Linked DNA regions of Oryctolagus cuniculus. Each later gene encodes a partner of the first gene's protein in a complex. Links are inferred from orthologs where the notes say so. Each region holds a gene or a part of one and is shown on either strand. Other genes may lie near its edges.

Region 1 (3,511 bases):
CAAGGCGTCGCAGCATCTCAGTGCCCACTGGACAGGAGGAGGAGCCGAGTGCCCCCTCCTCTCCCCTCTGACCACCATCCTCACTTGTACTGGGCAGTGCCACCCAGTGGCCAAGCGCTGTGCCTCTGGCCCCTGCCTCCCACGAGCAGGTCTGTTAGGCCTGCAGCAGCTGTCTCAGGAAGCCGTGTCCTGAGCACCTGTGTCGCATGCTCCTTCCGGACATGGGCCATGGCCTTCCCTGGGCTGGGCACTGGGGCTGCCTCCACCCGGTCTCCCTGAGCACCGTCAGGGGCTGGGCACTGGGGCTGCCTCCACCCGGTCTCCCTGAGCACCGTCAGGGGCTGGGCACTGGGGCTGCCTCCACCCGGTCTCCCTGAGCACCGTCAGGGGCTGGGCACTGGGGCTCCCTCCACCCGGTCTCCCTGAGCACCGTCAGGGGCTGGGCACTGGGGCTCCCTCCACCCGGTCTCCCTGAGCACCGTCAGGCAGTGCTTCCCCTTGGCTAGTTCACGCTGCTGCTGCTTCTTGTTTTTGTTTTTGTTTTTGTTTTTGTTTTTTTCTTTTTTTAAAGCTTTATTTATTTATTTATTTGAAAGCATTGCAGAGAAAGAGAGAGGCAGAGACAGAGAGATCTTCTGTTCGCTGGTTCAGTCCCCAGATGGCCACAGCGGCTGGGGTTGGGCCAGTCAGGAGCCAGGAGCTTCTTCCAGGTCTCCCACGTGGGTGAAGGGGTCCAAGCACTTGGTCTGTCCGCTGCTGCTTTCCCGGGTGCATTAGCAGGGAGCTGGATGGGAAGTGGAGCAGCCGGCACTGACTGGCGCCCATGTGGGAGGCCGGCGCTGCAGGCGTGGCTTTACCTGCTGCCTGGTGCGGGTTGGACGTTTGTGCGGTCAGTTTTAGAGGTGGGCCCCGCGTGTGTCACTCCTTCATCACTCTTGAGTACGCAGAGTAGTGTCTGAGAAGGGGTGGAGCGACTCTTAGCCCAGAGCTGCGGGGGAGGCTGGAGGGTGGCCTGGGGCTGGCCATGCTGACGCCCGCCACGCCCCCCAGCCACTTCCACCTGGACCACTGCGGAGCGCTGCCCTACTTCAGTGAGATGGTGGGCTACGACGGGCCCATCTACATGACGCACCCCACGCAGGCCATCTGCCCCATCCTGCTGGAGGACTACCGCAAGATTGCCGTGGACAAGAAGGGCGAGGCCAACTTCTTCACCTCCCAGATGATCAAGGACTGCATGAAGAAGGTGGTGGCCGTGCACCTGCACCAGACGGTCCAGGTCAGCCCAGCGCCCTCCCCGCAGTGGGCCCGGGCCGCCAGGAGGGCAGGGGTGCATGCAGTGTGTGTGCGGGTGCGTGGGGCCCTTGCGTCCACCTGGCTGGCATTCCTGCGAGGCCCCTTGTGCCTCTGTGCGTGCCTGGTGCTGTCCAGTGGTGGTCAGGCCTGGGCAGAGATGGACGGCGAGTTCTGAAGGCCCCAGCCCTGGGCTTGATGACCAACGTGTGTGGGTCAGGGCAGAAGCAAAGGCGTGTAACTCGGATGGGGGAAACGCCTCCCCAAGATCGTGGCCCCGCCTGGACGGAGTCGGGCTCGGCCTGTGCTCTGGAAGCTGCTGTGGGCGCCCCCCTCGTCTGCCGGCTGAACGCCTGTGCCGCGGGGAGCCGTCCCCTGCCGGCTGAACGCCTGTGCCGCGGGGAGCCGTCCCCCAGCACCCTGTGTTCCGTGGACGTTTTTCCGTCTAACTGTGGCCCGTCCACACGGAGCTCGTGGCTCTGCGTTGAAGAACTTGGTTTCTGTTTGAAGATTATTTGAAAGGCAGAGCGTTCGAGAGACGGAGCGACGCAGACAGCACTTCCCTTCCGTCTGCTGGGTTAGTCCTCAGCTGGCTGCAGCAGCCAGGTCTGCAGCAGGCTGAGGTCAGTGCCTGGGAGCCCAGTCCCGCTCTCCCGTGGGGGCAGGGGTCACTGCTACCTCCCAGGGCGCTTCCGACGTGGAGTGTGGCCACCTCAGGTGGTGTCTGGCACCTTAACCCCCAAGCCCCAAGCCTGCACCCCGAGAGCCACCCCGTGTTCAGAGCCGCATCTGACCGCGGGCCCTGGCCCACAGCCGTGTCACGGTCGTCGCTCCCTGACCGCGGGGCCTGGCTCACAGCCGTGTCACGGTCGTCGCTCCCTGACCACGGGGCCTGGCTCACAGCCGTGTCACGGTCGTCGCTCCCTGACCGCGGGGCCCTGGCCCACAGCCGTGTCATGGTCGTCGCTCCCAGACCGCGGGGCCTGGCCCACAGCCGTGTCACGGTCGTCGCTCCCTGACCGCGGGGCCTGGCCCACAGCCGTGTCACGGTCGTCGCTCCCTGTGCTTCTGTGTGCGGGGCCCAGGCAGAGCCTACTGCTGTGGCCCCTGCCCCTGAGCGCGGCCCCTCCCCCGCAGGTGGACGACGAGCTGGAGATCAAGGCTTACTACGCGGGCCACGTGCTGGGGGCAGCCATGTTCCAGATTAAAGTGGGCTCAGAGTCCGTGGTCTATACGGTAGGTGGAAGGCTGGGGGCGGGGCTTCCCCGGGGGCGGGGCAGCCTCTTCATCGCCACTTCCCCACAGGGCGACTATAACATGACCCCCGACCGGCATTTGGGGTGAGTCCCACATGTACCTCGCCCATCCTGGGGGTGAGGGTCCCGGCCCCTGCTCAGCGTGCGGATGTCCCCTGTGGGTCGTCCCCCCTGGGGACTTGGGGCCTAGGTGCTTGAAGGCCCGAGGCCCAGTCGCTCGGGCCCGTGCAGTGCTGGACGTCCGTCTGTTCCAGAGCTGCCTGGATCGATAAGTGCCGCCCGGACCTGCTCATCACGGAGTCCACCTACGCCACCACCATCCGCGACTCCAAGCGCTGCCGTGAGCGGGACTTCCTCAAGAAGGTCCACGAGACCGTGGAGCGGGGCGGCAAGGTAGCCGCCGTCCGGCCAGCTGCCCGGGCCACGTGCTCCGGGGGCGGCCGCTGGAGCCCTTCCCCGTGGTCCCCGGCGGGGGGTCGGGGGCACTGCACACCCTCGCACGGGCAGGGCTGCCTGGCCCCGCTGGGAGCAGGCTCCAGCCGTAGGACCGGCTGTGCCTTGCTGCTGGGTGGGAGCCCCGCCTGAGCGCCCCCGTCCTGCAGGTGCTGATCCCCGTGTTTGCGCTGGGCCGTGCGCAGGAGCTCTGCATTCTGCTGGAGACCTTCTGGTAGGTGGGCCAGGGCTCTCCCGGCTCCGCTGGCGTCTGCTTACTGTCGGGGCAGTGGGGGCTGCCCCAGTCCGGGGGCCCCGTGTTGTCCCCATACTGGCCATGTCAGGGCCCTCGTCAGCTCCAGCGCATCACAGGACACAGGCTGGGGCATCAGCCGGTGGTCACAGCAGCGGGACCGGGCTGGGGTGGCCACGGGTGTGGGGAGCGGCCCAGGCCTGCGATGGCTGTGCTGACCGGGCTGGGGTGGCCACGGGTGTGGGGAGCGGCCCAGGCCTGCGATGGCTGTGCTGAC
Region 2 (3,739 bases), on another chromosome or scaffold:
CACCCACATCCCCTCCTTCCCTGCCCGCCCCTCAGCATGGGCTCCCTCCACCCTCCGTTTCCTAAGAAACTGCAGGCTCATCCAGACCACCCAGGCTCACGAGGGGAGGAAGACGCTTACTCCACTTGAGGGACAGGGACACAGCTCACGGGAGTCACGGGGCTAAGTCCAGCCGTCCGCATGTCCTCAAGTCACCTCGAGAGGACACTAGTGGGGAACCTGAACACCCGCCCTGGCCCAGGGCCCCTCAGCGCCCCATCAGCGCTCTCAGAGATGAAGGGCACCCTCTGGCCCGATCCCACACCCGTGCTGGGTACGTCAGTGAGAGCAGCAGGGGCGCGTGGGAAGCCACAGGCGTGGTTCTTTGTATTTTAGATCTGTGTGCACACACGTGCAGAAGGGCAGGGGTGGTGATGACAAGGCAGGATCCCCGGGACTGAATGGAAGCTCCGGACCACAGAACTGGCCTTACCTGGTATCTGGCACGTGCTTTAGAGCAAAAACACACCTGTCTGAAAACCCTCCATGGCACACTTTAAAGTCTCTTTCCGGGAATAAGCCCTGAAACGCAAAACGGGCCAATGAGAGCTGGCCACTCAGCCTCAGCCTCCCGAGGGCCCTGGTGTGCTATCTATGGGTGTCGGTCGCAGGTGCTCTCCCCCTTCTCTGCCACCCAAAGCCCTGCCCCTCGTTTCGCCAGGCCCTTCCACTCCAGCACCCACGACACTCCAGCCCTCTCAGGGGAGTCCAGGGGGTCGGCAGCTTCACCAGGGCAAGAGGGATCCAGGAGCGATGAACACACGCCCACTTCTCCCCATCCCTCCCCTGGACACCAGGGGTTCTTGCAGCTACACAGGCGTTAACACCGGCTGCGTAACACGTGCTCGCTCTGCCGGGCCCTGTGTTTGGGGCTTTATCACATTTACGTCTTACACTACCCTGTGGCGCAGCTACCAGAGCTGGCACTGTTCTGAACATGACAACCCTAAGGCACAGGGAGCTTAGGCAACTTCTCTAAGGTCACAGAGGAGTTAAATTGCAGGGGCTGGCATTGTGGCGCGATGGGTTATCCGACTGGTAGCCTCGCCCCTCCTGTCTCCTGACGATCACCAAGCCCTGGAGTCCCCTCTCTTGTCACCCTGTACCCCTGGAGGCAGAATCGTGTCCAGGGCGCTGCTCCCTCCCTCCCTCCCTCTCTCCCGCACATCCTCTCCTCCTTCAGGGCTTTCTTCCCCACGGCTTGTCACTCTGCTCGGGCCCTGCTTGGGGACACTCTCCCTGGAATCTGTGTCCCAGACAGGGGCAGGGGCTGGTTTCTTCCCTCCCGGCACTTCCCGATGGCATGGCCTCCTTCCTCTCAATATTTGCCCTCACCAAAAACACTGCAGCCGACGTCACCGCGAACTTCCCAAATGCCAGTCTCCTGAGCGAACCCAGCCACTCCCCAGCATCCGAGGGCAGTCACCAACTCTCTTCTCCTGGCCAGGGGTTCTTCTCTTGGCTCCTGAAACACTGGCCTTTTTCCGACTCCTCCTATCTCAGAGACCCTGAGCGTTCACGGTACCAGTGTGCTCTGGGAGGTTCTATCCTTAGCTGTCATCTCTGATTCCTTACCCACCACACACTAATCCTAGGCCAGTGGAACCATCCCATCCCCTGACGGTTTCCGAAACCATTTAGTTTTGATAAACTAAAATCAGCTTCTCGCTCCAGTAGCCCCACATAAACCACGTTAGCATTCAACTCTAAGCATTTACCTCCCTCTATTACACTGAAGGACTGGCACAGTGCTTCTCTCTCTCTCTCTCTCTCTCTCATCCAGGGCATTACCTGATAGACAATACAACCTCCACAAATGCTTCATAAATAAAAGTCAACACACGCATATTTCAAGTTACCTGGTTTTCCTTTACAGAAAGTCGGTGAGGCAATACGAGATGAAGAATCTCGTTTTTTTTCAGGCTTTCATAGCCAGCAACAAAGACTCCTGGAGAAAGGCAGAAGCAGCGTGAGACCGTGAGACTGCAGACCACCGCGGAGTTCACAAACTCCCGCCAAGTCTTCCCCATGCTGGCACGCAACCCCAGACGATGGGCGAGCTGAGTAAGGGGATTATACAAGGGAGCACGGACGGGCGCCCCAGTGCTGCCAGGGGCGGAGTCCCTGAGACAGTGCGACTCCACCTGCTTGGGGGACAGATCACCTTTGTTCCCAATCCATTCAAGGACTCGAGTGGCTCCCGACAGGTCGAATGCATGGAAATCCTGGTACCTGCACAATGAAGGACACACAAACCACTCGGTGCCCCAGAACTCACAGATGGGGCCCAGGCTCTGGCGTCAGCAGGCGTGGGGCCGAGTCTCGTCGGGCGTTCGCTCCGTGTCTGGCCCAGCCAGCGGCGTAACGTCCCTACGCCTCGGTCCTGAGTAACTCCCAGGCCAGCCAGATTCCCCAGGCTGATGTGGGGCATCAATGAGACATCTGGGTCCAGGACTAACCTCCGAGGCTAGAGCGAACGCGCCGGCCACACGCGCCGCTCCCACGAGCACCTCACACAAGCCACAGGCGCGCGGAGGGGCCATGTGCAGGCGTCGCGGCCGGGCGGAGTCCTCCGCATCGCCCCAGCCTCCCCCAGCCTTCGCTGCGCTCCTCCACCCGCACCCATCCGCCCATCCCTCCAGCTCCAGGCCCAGAGCCCGACCCACAGCCCCGCGCGACTCACAAACGCAAGGACTCCACCAGCCAGTCCTCCGCGGACTCCATGGCAACGGCCGCTGCCGACACCCCACTTCCGCTGCCGAGCGGAAGGACAGCCGCCGCGCTCTCGCGAGACCTGGGCGTGGCCTCCCGCCCGGGGGCGGGGCCGAAGGGATCGGACCGCGGATCCCCACGCGTCGCTTTTGGGACTGGGAGTGTCCGGGGTTCTCCGGGCGGCAGCCCCGGGGAAAGTGACGTAAAATCGGGGATTCCCCGATGCCGGAGGGCCCAAATACTCGCCGGCCGTGTGTGGCAGCCCAGCCCCCTGTACTAACACCGGAGCGCCCGTCTGAACTGGGATTCTGCAGCCTCCCTGCTGAATGCCAGCGAGGAGGGTAGGGGGGCGCCCGCCCTCTCAAAGCCTGGCGTGGGGAAGAAATGAGAGGGGCAAGCCCGGCAGTGCCGCGCAGGCAGGGACACGGGAGACCAGGCGTACCGCAGGCGTAGCTTGATTGAGCAGGAGTCAGTGCCAGGCTGGGCCATGGCGCCAAGTGCTCCAGCCCCGTCTGTCTCCCGGCCCCTCTCCCGCCCTCCCTCAAACCTAGCTGGAAGGAGAGGACCACGCATTCTGTGTGAAGAGCAGGGTTTTTATTCACAGCTTCAACAGGGGAGCAACCGATACAGCAGGGATATAACCTCGTGTGCGTCCCGCCAGCTCTGGCGACCCCGTCAGGAATCCCAGCCGTGCAGAGACGGACTGGCGCCCAGCATTTACATCCAGGCGGCACTGCCACCTCCCCCGGGCCGGCACAGTCTAAGGTGAGCTGCTGCTGGCATCACTTCTGCAGTATTTGCACCGGAAGCCTCCTGTACTGAATGAAAACACAGAAGAGTTGATCTGGCAAGGCGGGGTGGGGGCGCGGCGCCGCCCACGAATGGAGCCTCCTGCCACTCCTAAGTGCCAGGCACCTGCAGAGGTGGGCAGGGCAGGACCCCTAGCACGGCTCTCCCTGAAGGGCCCGGGAAGGAGTCACCGGCCGTG

Evidence for each region. The genes of interacting proteins can lie anywhere in the genome.
Region 2: the proteins of INTS11 (region 1) and WDR73 are in contact, whole or in part, in a cryo-EM structure (PDB 8R22), measured with the Homo sapiens proteins. The link is inferred for Oryctolagus cuniculus from reciprocal best matches to the Homo sapiens genes INTS11 and WDR73. Residues at the interface, in NP_060341.2 of Homo sapiens: Tyr206, Thr208, Thr209, Ile210, Arg211, Asp212, Ser213, Arg215, Cys216, Arg217, Glu218, Arg219, Asp220, Leu222, Lys223, Lys224, His226, Phe255, Arg258, Met259, Leu364, Val384, Glu385, Tyr386, Ser388, Lys418, Lys419, Glu421, Phe422, Gln425; in NP_116245.2 of Homo sapiens: Asp5, Asp6, Leu8, Val9, Ser11, Leu12, Tyr15, Gln16, Phe18, Tyr19, Ala20, Phe21, Asp22, Leu23, Glu50, Leu52, Arg59, Leu68, Phe69, Pro70, Glu71, Arg72, Asp73, Phe74, Lys75, Val76, Gly79, Phe81, Asp116, Ser117.

The regions. Positions count from the first base shown.
Region 1 is NC_091438.1:164,188,313-164,191,823, forward strand, and holds part of INTS11 (integrator complex subunit 11), read left to right. Parts: intron 1-438; exon of another isoform or gene 439-1,050; coding exon 1,051-1,279; exon of another isoform or gene 1,280-2,276; intron 2,277-2,321; exon of another isoform or gene 2,322-2,430; coding exon 2,431-2,529; intron 2,530-2,598; coding exon 2,599-2,633; intron 2,634-2,803; coding exon 2,804-2,942; intron 2,943-3,151; coding exon 3,152-3,216; intron 3,217-3,511.
Region 2 is NC_091443.1:100,944,699-100,948,437, forward strand, and holds the start of WDR73 (WD repeat-containing protein 73), read right to left. Parts: upstream 2,853-3,739; 5' UTR 2,764-2,852; coding exon 2,723-2,763; intron 2,272-2,722; coding exon 2,204-2,271; intron 1,988-2,203; coding exon 1,899-1,987; intron 562-1,898; coding exon 473-561; intron 1-472. Other genes in the region: NMB (neuromedin-B), read right to left, coding at 3,534-3,569. UniProt on the Homo sapiens protein: Component of a multiprotein complex required for the assembly of the RNA endonuclease module of the integrator complex. Associates with INTS9 and INTS11 in the cytoplasm, stabilizing the INTS9-INTS11 heterodimer and blocking the active site of INTS11.